3 linked regions of the Oryctolagus cuniculus genome follow. The protein of the gene in region 3 interacts with the protein of the main gene of each other region in a pairwise test. Links are inferred from orthologs where the notes say so. Each region holds a gene or a part of one and is shown on either strand. Other genes may lie near its edges.

The links.
Region 1: the proteins of RBM41 (region 3) and RALYL interact in binary tests that used the Homo sapiens proteins (3 or more experiments, as listed by UniProt). The two-hybrid records come from large-scale screens. The link is inferred for Oryctolagus cuniculus from reciprocal best matches to the Homo sapiens genes RBM41 and RALYL.
Region 2: the proteins of RBM41 (region 3) and RINT1 interact in binary tests that used the Homo sapiens proteins (3 or more experiments, as listed by UniProt). The two-hybrid records come from large-scale screens. The link is inferred for Oryctolagus cuniculus from reciprocal best matches to the Homo sapiens genes RBM41 and RINT1.

What each region holds. Positions count from the first base shown.
Region 1 is NC_091437.1:110,338,548-110,342,195, reverse strand, and holds part of RALYL (RNA-binding Raly-like protein), read right to left. Parts: intron 2,973-3,648; coding exon 2,800-2,972; intron 1-2,799.
Region 2 is NC_091434.1:138,817,002-138,821,384, forward strand, and holds the start of RINT1 (RAD50-interacting protein 1), read right to left. Parts: upstream 2,862-4,383; 5' UTR 2,702-2,861; coding exon 2,669-2,701; intron 2,313-2,668; coding exon 2,201-2,312; intron 1,808-2,200; coding exon 1,623-1,807; intron 1-1,622. UniProt on the Homo sapiens protein: Involved in regulation of membrane traffic between the Golgi and the endoplasmic reticulum (ER); the function is proposed to depend on its association in the NRZ complex which is believed to play a role in SNARE assembly at the ER.
Region 3 is NC_091453.1:86,164,323-86,168,701, reverse strand, and holds the start of RBM41 (RNA-binding protein 41), read right to left. Parts: upstream 2,829-4,379; 5' UTR 2,801-2,828; coding exon 2,712-2,800; intron 86-2,711; coding exon 1-85. UniProt on the Homo sapiens protein: May bind RNA.

The sequences.
Region 1 (3,648 bases), on a different chromosome or scaffold from region 3:
GTGGAGCCACTTGAGCTGTTCCATGAGCTCATTTTGATGTTTTCCCCTTGCTTCAGACCCAATTTTTATTCCTTGTTCATTCTTTTTGAATATATTTCCACATTAGCCCTGAACAGTCACCTGAGTATGTGGATAGCAGCTCTAATTTCTTTACTCCTATTGCACATGCTAAAATCTTAATTATACTGTATTCTTGTTCCAATCTATAATAATTCATTATGACAAAAAATAAATGTTTGCTTTGACTTTTCTTTTTGGGAACCTAATATAATTTGATTCATGTGGCCTGGAAAGGAGAAAACAGTAAAAACTAGACTGGGGAATTCTCTCTTGTCTGATGGCTAGTTTCCATTTAAATTGCAAGATATAAGTATTAAACTCCTTCTCATTCATTATTTTCCAAGTTATAGAAACCAAATGACATACTAGAGACAATATTTAATTCTTTAGTTTCCTGGGGCTGGTGTTGTGGCATAGCGAGTAACACTGCCACCTGTGACACTGGCTTCACAGATGGGTGCCAGTTCAAGTCCTGGCTGCTCCACTTCTGATACTGCTACCTGTTAATGTCCTGGTAAAAGCAGTAGAAGATAGCCCAATGTTTGAGCCCTACCACCTGCATGGGAGACTTGGATGAAGCTCCTGGCTCCTGGCTTCAGCCTGGCCTGGTGTTGGCCCTTGGGGCCATCTGGGAAGTGAACCCAGGGGTGGAAGATTCCCTATCTCTCTTTCTCAGTTTCTCCTTCCTTCTCTGTAACTCTGACTTTCTAAATAAAGATATAAATCTGTCTAAAAATCTTTATCTCCTAAAGTCTCCAATTATAACACCAAGGTTGAAGGAGAATATCTGAGCACCTCTAGGCAGCAACAGTTCTAATTAACAAAGAGCTGAAACTGAAACAACAGTTTAGACACTGTCAAAAGTTTGAAAAGAGAAAGATGGTGGCTTCAATTTGTCCACTTGTAGAGGAGATGCAGTGAGTACTGGACTATTATTTGTAAGTAGAATGAACAGAAGTAGGAATGGAGGTAAAATATAACCCATAATCTTATTTTTTGTGGGTTATTACTGATAGAAATGTTGTTTATCAGAATGCACAAGACTTAGAAAGAATAAAAGAGCTAGAAAAAGCTCAAGAATGTTTCTAGAAATGGGAAGTTTCAGTTGTTTATTGGACATCTTTGGTTATAGGCAGCTGAATATTTGAGTCTAGAGATCAAGGGAAAGATTAGGAATAAAATGTCTGTTTAGCAACTCTTGGACTGTAGATAGTGTTTAAAATTCTGCTATTTGATGAAGACAGCTTCAGAAAATGTGGAGAAAGAGGAAGCTCTGAACTAGTCCAATATTTAAATTAGGAGTACGGAAGGGAAATTTCTAGCATAGGAAGCTGATGTAATCAATTGATAAGATAAGAGAATTTCTCAAAAGCAGGGAGTGGCTAGCTATGCAAAGTCCTGTTGAAGAGTAATTTAAAGTAAGTACAAAGAGGTACCCATGGGAAATGACTATATGGAGCCCTACAGAAACCTCCACATGAGTAGACACAATGAAAAAGTGAAACAGAAGTCTGATTATAATGGATTCAGCACATCACGCTGTTGAATTAAAAGTCCTGCCTAAGGAAAAGCTGCGAAACATATTTGTCCTTTATTGTAGACCTTGATCAGTCGATTCCTGAAATCAATGTATTTCTAAAAACAGATACTTAAGTCCTTCAAACAGAAGCAGAATTTTATAAAAATAGAGGTGGCTGTTAAAAGCTCATGTTTGAAAAGTTTAAATAAAAGTGCCAGGAAATTTAAACAGAGCTGTAATATTAAATGTCAATACAAAACTCTGTAAAAATAAGCTATCTTTAAAGCTAACAATAAAGTGGTTACCATACCGAAATAATAGCTACTACCATGTCAAAATTACTTAAGTAACAATAAGTATTTAAATATTGTAATCTGATATTGCCTGGAATGAGCCAAGTTTAACAAGTTCAGTCTATAAATATTTAAGAGTTGGTCTCTCTTTCTCACACACACACAGACACACTACATGCCCTTGTACTTTGTTTTAGTAAGTTTTTTTTTGATACAGTGTATCTATTTTCATGGTTGATAAAATAAGAGAGATAACATCTTCTTCACTATGTATTTACCAAGTTCCTAGTGTGGTTATGTGGAAAAGAACATCTGGAAATGGGCAGTATAATGATTATATAATTGAGAAAATAAAACACAAATAATCAGGTCTTAGCTAAATTTTCAAATAATAAATACTGATTATCAATAGAACAGGCACTGAAAATGGTGAATTAGTCATACTCCAAGGAGTCATGCTATTTTAGTAAAAGCATGGAGAAAGGACTTTTGGCTGTGCAGTCAGTAATGATAATTACCATCAGTGACTAAAACTAGTAAATAAGAAGGAGAGGTATGTATCTTCTAGTAAATGGTCATTTAGTACTAGTATATTATATTTATATACAATTATCTTGTACTTTCACAAATGCAAAATTCCTTCTACAATGAAGGATTTGCACAAGAGAATCTTTCATTTGGGACATTAGTTATTCCTACTCTCATATAGCTTATTTCTATGGTTCTTTCCCTTACATCCTGATATTTTGTTAACAAAAAGATTATTGAGCACTTACTATGTGCAAAGCACTAAATTAATGTTCCCTTTAATAGTGCAAATAAGAAAGTAATATTCCCCAAATGAGTTAATCATGTTAGAATGAATGTATTGCTGACACACTAGTGCTCTTACTCAATGGGTGTGGACACCAAATATTTAGTTCCTACCAGCTCATGACCCCCATCTTCATCGAAGTCCTCCTCTATCCCATCAGTCATCTCTTCTCCATCCGCTTCTGGCCCTCCTTCAGCAGGCTCCTCTGTAGAGTGATCTGCATTCTCTGACACACATTCGTCTTGGATCAGCTCTATACTCTCTTCCAATTGCTTCTTCTGAGCTTCTAGGGGGGAAAAAGCAAATGACTACTACCTTGGGTTGCCCACGAGTCATATGGATAAACCATGAAGAAACAGTCCATGATGGGTAAATTCTGTGTATGGTTAAAGGTATGCTAAGAATAGGTAATATTATGTTTTGGCTGAATTTATTCAATAATGTATATATATATGTGCATTTACATGAAAGCATATTAATTTTAAAATGGAATTATCAAAAATTAGGGAATTCAGATGGTAGTAGTACATAAACAAAGCTTTATGTAAATAGATTTATCTTTCTCATTACTATATTCTGTATGTAGTCCTTTCTTATAAAAATATTCTCTCTGATGAGAAAACAGAGCAAAAATAAAGGGCAAAAAATGAAATGAAACATAAATTGTTCATTCAATGAAGAAGAATGGAAAAAGCTCATTTACAAGTTCAAACCTAAATGAAAAAGACAAAGAAAAACTCAATAAGAAAGTACCAAAGTGAATATGCTTTCATTCAGATGATATATCTCTAAATACAATTCATTGAAATTATAAAGTCTAAGTTCTCTTTGCAGATGTGGTTCACTACAGTGAAAAGAACATAAATTCTGGTGTCATATAACCTAAATTCAAAGTCAAGTTTTATCATTTAGTAGCTATGCAATGCTATTCAAAGCAGAAATGATCAGTCTTCATTGTGCCT
Region 2 (4,383 bases), on a different chromosome or scaffold from region 3:
ACAAGCCTGATTACAGGGAGTCAAAGACCGAATGGCAAATCAGAAAGTGAAGGCAGACACATGATGACTCTTCAGACTGACAGTCAAAGGAAAGTGCCAGCTCCCACTGAAAGATGAGAGGAAAGTTTTGCTTGTTGGTTTGGGTTGTATGAAAAAGTCATGCGTATGTCCATAAGCAGAGGGAACAGGACTGGCTGAGGAGTGATGTTAAGTCCGCTAAGGTGGCAGGCATGAGCTGAGACACAAAGACAGCTTTAGGTTGATGCTTCCACTGAATTAAGAGGTAAAAATGTTTACAAACAGGTTTGTGCCATGTGGGGGAGACCGATTCATGCGAGATGCCTCAGTATTTTCTGTGTGGGAAAGGGAAAGGGCAGAATGGCCAGCTCTAGTGTCTCCGGGAAAATCTGGAAGCACAGCTGAGGGGAGCAGCAGAGGGCCCACATTCCTACGGAAGGACCACTAGGTGGGGCTGAAGACTCAGCCAGGAAGGCAACCGGACATTTGGGTGGCATCCCTCCCCCTGCATGGGTGACCTCCTCCCACGGGGCTCACAACAGCCTGCCTACAGGTACAGAAAAGGCCATCAGGGCCTAGCAAAATCTTGAAACTAGCAGTGGAGTAGATGTGGTAAAAAGACAGGAAGATGTGGAGGGCCAAGGTGACTGGATGGGAGAACACAAGAGGACTGACAACCTGGAGAAAATATACCCACTTCCCACAGAGCTTACTTTAACCTACTTTGGTGGTTACACAATAACAATCTTTTAACAAAGACATTATTGCAAGTATAGGGACTTACTTGTTTAAGATTACATTCATTGGGTTTTTAAAAAATTCTTTTAAGTAATATGTAATAAAACATAAAATGAAAAAAAATCACCTGTCAACCAACCACCTACAAGAAACCATTATAATGTTACACTTTTCATGTTTCTCCTCTATGTGTGCATTTATAAAAATTTGGGATGATGGTGTTTAAACTTTTTTTGTTTACCATAAATTTACTTGTAAAAGCAGTTTCTGGGGCCAGCGCTGTGGCAAAGCCACCACCTGCAGTGCCAGCATCCCATATGGACGCCAGTTGGAGACCCAGCTGCCCACTTCCAATCCAACTCTCTGCTATGGCCTGAGAAAGCAGTAGAAGATGGCCTAAGTGCTTGGGGCCCTGCACCCACATGGAAGACCTGGAAGAAGCTCCTGGCTCCGGGCTTCGGATCGGCTCAGCTCCAGCCGTTGCAGCCATCTGGGGAATGAACCAGCGGATGGAAGACCTCTCTCTCTCTCTGTCTGCCTCTCTTTCTCTGTCTGTGTAACTCTTTCTAAGTAAATAAATAAATCTTTTTTTTTTAAAGCAGTCTCTAAGTCTGTATAAAAAGCCATGAAAATGTTATCGTTTTTAAAGACATAAATCATACAGTAAGAACCCTTTTATATAGTTTATAAAATACATAGCACACTGTAAATCCTTAAAGCTTATTGAGCAAAAAAAAACTTTTTAAGCAGGGAGTGGGAAGAAAACTCATTAAGCAGTTTAAAATGTCACAATCTATACCTTCACAATTTTATACACAATATTAGCTATGTTTATATTAATAAAGATGCATATATATTATACTTGCCTGTTCTTCTAACTGTATTTTATTTTTTGTCATTTGTTCTATGAGTTTATCAAGTTTCTTCAAAGACTGAAGGTCATTTCCAACTTCCTTTTCTATGAATGCAGACACGTAAGCCGAAAGCTCACTATTATCTATATTTTCACTGACATGTTCACTTTCAACAAGAGCTACATTATTTATGTCACCTAAAATAAAAGAATAACAATTACTCAACACCATTAAGGACTGGGGAATTAAAGGAATTATAAAAACATACAAAAGTTAATAATGGAAGAACATACTACATACATATAGGTATCTGAAAAAGTTCATGGAAAAATGGAATGAAAAGTTTCCTGTGGTGCAACAAAACCTTTGAGGGTAGGTGTGTAGCCTGGGAGTTTAGCAGCTGCGTCCTACGCTGCAATACCTGGGTTCGATTCCCGGCTCTGGCCCTTCTGGAGAGCACCCGTGTTATACAATTGTAGACAAACATACACATATAAGACCAGTTAATACTTGGTACTACATAAGCATAGTGCGCAGAAACAGCTCATCTCAAAGCTAACAGGCTAAGATCGCCTTTCCCTGCCGCCTACCCTGGAAGGCTGAGTTTGGGAGAGACGCCGGGACACAAAGCGCTACGGCGGATGCAGCCTGCTTGCTCTCCTCCACGATGCTCTCCGTTTCTGCGCCACTTTCAGGGCAGCACTGGAAGAACAAGGTGACAAAAACACTGACGTTAAAGGAGCAGATGGAACTTAACACAGGGCTCCCAAAGGAACCGACAGGGATCTGCCCAAAGTCCCAGGGCGGTCGGATACAGGTTTCGAAAAAGGGCTACCTCCCTGGTGCCACCCCTCCCAGGAGTCTGTGCCACCCTCGCCCGGCCACCGGAGCCACCTCCCTGGAGAGATCAGTCATCTCACTGGGACCACGACCCCTGGGAATGCCGCGAGGGACTCGAACCTGCGCCGCGGGAACCACCCTCACAAGCCTCCAGCGCCACCTCACCAAGACAACCGGGAGGTTTGTGTCACCTCCCCGAGTCGCCAGAGACGACTCACCGGAGCTCCCGGCGCATCGCCGATCGGGGGCATCCCGCCTCCGCGCGAGTCCTCGGCTCCATTCGCAGCCAGCGTGGCTGGTGGAGTCCCGCTCCGGTCAGCGACAGAAACCAGCGCGCCTCAGCGGCTAAGGGACTTGGTGACACCGCGACTTCCTCTCGCCTCTCTCGGGTTCCTTCCTCTTGGCCAGAGCGGTCCTTCCCGCGAGCAGCCTTCTGAGCGCCGTCTCCCCCTGCAGGCCGGAGGTTGGAACTGCGGCCCAGGAAGAGAGCCCCCGCCCCCAAGGCAGCCCAGAGAAGGCTGGGCCCGTACCCCCTCTCTCTAAGCATTGGAGCTCTTCATTGTGGATCTTGAAGGTACTCCTTCTTTCACGGCATAAATTCAAAGTGAATCATTTACATTTATGCTTCAGACGACATCGAGATGTTCTGAAAATGAGTGCGCTTGGTGAGCGGCAGTGACTAGGTAGGTGTATTTTATCGCCTATTTAATTGTGGGATTGCCGATGAATGTAACCATCTCTAGATCTTTACCGCTGGTCAGTTCCCTAAGGATCACTCTCCAATGTCCTGGCTGGATGGTCAGCGTTCTGGTTGCTGAATGAAGAAGAGGACTCAGCGCCCACCAAGCCCCGTGCTCAGTCCAGACTCCCTAAATAAGCCCTATCTTCAGCTAAGGAGGAGGAACAAGAGTTAGCGGGAAGTAAGGCATGGGCCCCCGTATTTGACAATCTCAGAAACAAACTGCCAAGTAAAGTGGTACCATAAAGACCGAAATAGACAAGAAAAGGAGGGGAGGGAGAATAAGAATAAACAGAAAGCCTAGGAAAACAGAAGCCATTCAGTGAGAATAAAACTAAATATACTCAAACCAGGAGGAATCTTCCAAAAACAAAAAAAAAACTCGTGGAAAATTAATGGTATTTTTTAATGTGTGCATAGATTTCAAAACTTTTTTCCATCAAAATGCAACTTTTTTTTTTTTTTTTTTTAAGATTTAGTTATTGGCCGGCGCCGTGGCTCACTAGGCTAATCCTCCGCCTCGCAGCGCCGGCACACCGGGTTCTAGTCCCGGTCGGGGTGCCGGATTCTGTCCCAGTTGCCCCTCTTCCAGGCCAGCTCTCTGCTGTGGCCAGGGAGTGCAGTGGAGGATGGCCCAAGTGCTTGGGCTCTGCACCCCATGGGAGACCAGGATAAGTACCTGGCTCCTGCCTTTGGATCAGCGTGGTGCGCCGGCCGCAGCACGCCGGCCGCGGCAGCCATTGGAGGGTGAAGCAACGGCAAAGGAAGACCTTTCTCTCTGTCTCTCTCTCTCTGTCCACTCTGCCTGTCAAAAAAAAAAAAAAAAAAAAAAAGATTTAGCTATTTGAAAGGCAGAGTAGCAGAATCTTCCATCTGCTAGGTTACTCCCCTTTTGACTACCACAGCCTTGGGAGAATCAGGCCAAAGCCAGGAGGCAGGAACTCCATTTTGCTTTCCCACATAGGTGGCAGGGGCTCAAGGACTTCGGCTGTCTTCCACTGCTTTTCCAGGGCATATTAGCAAGGAGCTGGATGGGAAGCCAGCAGCCAGGACTACAACCTGATATGGGGATGCCAGTACTGCTGGTGGAGGCTTCACCCACTGTGCCACAATACCAGTCCCAAAATAAACCTAGCTTTTAATTCAAGTTTTCCACAACTGTTCTTTTCCTTTTTCTTTAAATTTTTGCTTATT
Region 3 (4,379 bases):
CTGAAGGAGGCTTTTCAGCTGTCTCTCCCCTTCTGTTTCCAGCTCCTCCAAGACACGCTCATCACTCTTCACACAGCTGTTTATCCTGGAGTAGATATAAGAATATATCCAGAAAGCAGAAGAGACAGAATCTCCAAATATTTTCCTTATCTATATTATCAACCATTAGTAACTCTATTTGCTCAAGGACACTTCTCTAGTAAGCATTTGCTAAATACCTATTTACACAAAGAACTAGGTACTTACGGAGCTCAAAGATAATACAAGACAGTCCCTATCTTCAAGAAGCCTGCAACTTCTTCAGACAAAAGAAACTTATGTGTATGTATGTGTTGTGCACAAAGGTCTGTAGGAGGGAGGGGGAAGATGGGAAGGGAAGAAAGAAAAAAAGTGAGAGGGAAAAGAGAGAGAGAATGAATAATGATACAGAGACACATATACCAAATTAGTAGCAGTTCACAGAAGAAAGAATTCAGAGCTAGAGTGGTAAAGGAAAATTTCAGAAAGGTATTCTCAAATTGGCATTGGAAGGACAGGTTGTGATGAAGTAAAGGAGAATTGGAAGTCTGAGTATGAAGAGACAGAAATGTGCACTGATGTGTAATGAGATGTTCCATTTAGCTGGCATTCACATTTGGGAGTACTGGAAGATGATCATAGAGGGTAAGTCTCAGATTGTGAAGGGCCAGATGAGGGACCCCTATATTTAATGTTATAGATATTATAAAGTAGTGATTAAGTGACGCAGTGCAAGTGATTGTTTAGGAAGAGAGATGTGGCTATTATGTGCCATATGAATTAGAAGAGAAAAAATCAGAACAACTCTTTACCAAACTACCAAAAGACAAAGTGATGAAGGTCTAGTCTGAAATGTTAATAGTGGAAATAGAAAGGAAGGGTTAGATGAGAGAGTTCTTTTGAAGGCAAGGGCAAGGAAGTCAAAGCTAACCCCCACATTTTAAGCTGTGAAATTCACACAATGATGGTGCTTGAAGCAAAGAAGCAGCTCCAGATGGAATAAGTGATTTGCGAAAGGGAAAGCCAGTATTGCCTTAGCTTTGTGAAATCAACCATACACCACAACTGAAACACTAGCATGAAGTATCTGGAATGCTATAAAAACATTGAGTCTGAGATGGCAGTATGAATGATTGGCTAGAAGGAAAATGAGAGATGATACAACTATTGAATAGAGTCTGAGGCTGAATAACAAAATTTCAAGTAAGCTGTGTTGATGAGGTTTGGAGCTATGAAAAAAGGAGATCTCCAAAGGACACAGTATAGAAAGAAATATGAAGAGGGTCATAACATTTTTTTGCTTAGAATCACTGTGTAGAAATCTGAGTAATGGATAGCATGAGCTAACTGACCCTAAATAACTGAAAATTGTTATTAGAGCATAAAGATATTTCTTAATGTTTATACCATTTAAGCATGCTTAATATTGAGTACTTTCCTTATAAAATAGCCCTTTCCTAGTGGGGTTATGATAAGGTCTAGAAAAAGTAACCCCTATGACTATTAGCATACTGTAGAACGATTTGGACTTATTTTGGGAAACTCAAAAATCTCTTTAGGTAGAGAGTTAGCTAAATTAATCAAGACACATGCATCTCAAAAAGAAATGCTGTTAAAAAAACAAGCAGGTCACAGAAAACCTCATGCAGTATTTGTAAAAAGTTGAAATGGGGAAAGTAGGAATATGTTTAAGGAAAAATTTATATGTGCTAAAATGAATTTTTAAAAAACATACAAAAAAGGAAGGGAATTATTAATTCAAAATTCCAGACAGTGATCACCTCCCAGGGAAGGGAAGCGAGGGAAGTAAACAGGAGACAAGGGAATTCTAAGGGACTGGTAATGTTCTACTCCTTAAATTTGTAGAGTGTGAGCCTTCGTTCGTTTTTAAATTGTATATATGCATTATTTTGCATGTGTGAGCTATCTCACCATGAAAAATTTCAAGGTTATTTTCAGACAAGGAAAATCAGAAACAGTTTTTTAAAAGATGCAAGGAACTGATAGTACAGGACAGCATATTAGAAACTATTTTAAATGCACCGCACTATCCCAGTGATGACTACTTGCACAAAACTATTTTAATGAGACCCTCTTTAAAGGCTTTCTGTCCTGCCAAAAATCGTGAGGCTCACACTCTCAACAATGACCCTCCAAGTTCTCACTGCCATTTACTGCGGGACCACGGCGGGGAGTGGGGGAAGGCTGCTCACAGCCACGCTTTCCTTCTATAAATACATCCTACCCGCTTTGTGCTTTCCTTCTAAATTTATAGAAACAATGTAGCACTTCTTTACTCTAAGATTTGAAAGCACTCCGTGGGGTCGCTACCCCCGCAAGTCTTCCTTAATATATACAGGCATCCTAAGCAAATGGGGCACATCCTGAGCCCCTGTACACCCTGAGCTCCGGTCTGAGGGTGAGGTAAGTTGGGGCGACAACGGGAGGAGCTGGCCTGGGTATTTCAGACACCGGGAACGTGCCAGCCAAGACCCATTTGCCTGAGTGGGTGCATCCGAAACACGAAGAAGCCGCAGTACCCAGCAAGTTCCCGGGGCCTAGGGCGGGAGGGGGCACATCAGGCCGAACCCGCCCCTGCACTGGCCCTTCCTGAACTTCGCCCCGCAGGCCTGTCCTTCCGCCCCCCCACCCCCCACCACCACCACCACCTCCGCGTTGGACTTCCCGCTTACAAGAAACCGCATCCTGAGAACCTGACACCTTCCAAACAGAAAGCGGTAACAGCCATTTTCAAAGTTAAAGGTAGAACAGAGGTCCCCATGCCGCCTGCTCCTCAGACAAGCCCTTACCTCTTCATGCTTCCACAGGCCCCTATCGCTAACTTGGGTGAATGGGCGAATAGGCCGCGGACCTCAAGTCCCAGAACTCTTAGCGGCAGACTCTAAGGGGGAATTGTGGTGGAGCGTGGAACTCTGGGAAATGTAGTACCAGAGAAACAGAAAGGGAAAACAGGTGTTGAGTGACTGCTACATGGTAACTGGTCCGAATATTTCTCATATGAGTTAAAGAAAATACTCAAAATATCCAGCTTCAAAACCAGAAGTAACCTTGGTCTTCTTGATTCTCTTATCCAATATTACTAAATCCTAGCTTTACTCTAACTTCCCTCAAATTGATCGCTGTCGACCCTGTTCTTCCCAGTAAAGCCACTAGTCCTCCTAGATGAGATAAAAGTCCACCCATGACATTTGCACTAACAGTTCTACATCTGTAAGACTTCTGAGTTCAGTCAGTTCAAAATCCGAAATCTGTATATATTCAAACTCATGAATGTTTTATTTGTAATTATAGTGAATCAAGAGAGAGGTATAGTATAGTGGTTAAAAGCATTGGCTCTTAGTTCCCAGTAATGGAAGTATAAATGTCTTTATAAGAAGAAAAAAGTTCAATCTCACTTAAAAGTGAGATGGAAATTTCATAGTAAACAGACTAATACTTCTGAAAACTACCCAGGTCATCCAAAGCAAGAAAACCCAAGATTTTGTCACAGCCATGAGGAACCAAAGGAGACATGATTACTAAATGTAATGTGATATCCTGGGTAGGATCTTGAAACAGAAAAAGGGCATTATGTAAAAACTAAGAAATTGTGATAAATAATGCACTTTAGTTAATAAGAGTTATTAGCTGTGATGAATGCACCAGTTATGTAAGATGTTAATACTAAGGTAAACTGGATGGAAGTATATAGTACTACGCATTATGCAAATTTTCTGTAGCTCTCAAAAACAAAGATAAAGTTTGAATTTTTTAAAGATTTATTTATTTGCTAGGCAGAGCTACACACACACACACACACACACAGAGAGAAAGAGAGAGAGAAGTAGAGAGAACAGATCTTCCATCCACTGGTTCATTCTCCAAATGGCTGCAACTACAGGGGCTGGGTCAGGCCAAAGCCAGCAGCCAGGAGCTGCATCTGGGTCTCTTGTGTGGATGCATGGGCACAAAGACTTGGGCTATCCTTTACTGCTGTCCCAGGCACATTAGCAGGGAGCTAGATCAGAGGTGGAACAGCCGGGACTCAAACTGGCACCAGTATGGGTCTGCCAGCATCGCAGGCAGAGCTTATCCTGCTACACCACAGCACCAGCCTCAAATAAAGTTTAAATTTTAAAAGTACACTAAAATAAGACTTTTCACTTACCAGACTGTGAAAGATACAAAAGTTAGATAGTCTGCTTATTTGTGGAGATTGTGGAGAACAGGCACTCTCAATACATTGCTGGTTGGAACATAACCTGGTAAAACCACTGTGGAGGACAATTTTAGTTCACTACTGAAATCATATATGAATGTTCCCTTTAAAGTAGCAATTCAGTATCCATGAATACTATCCT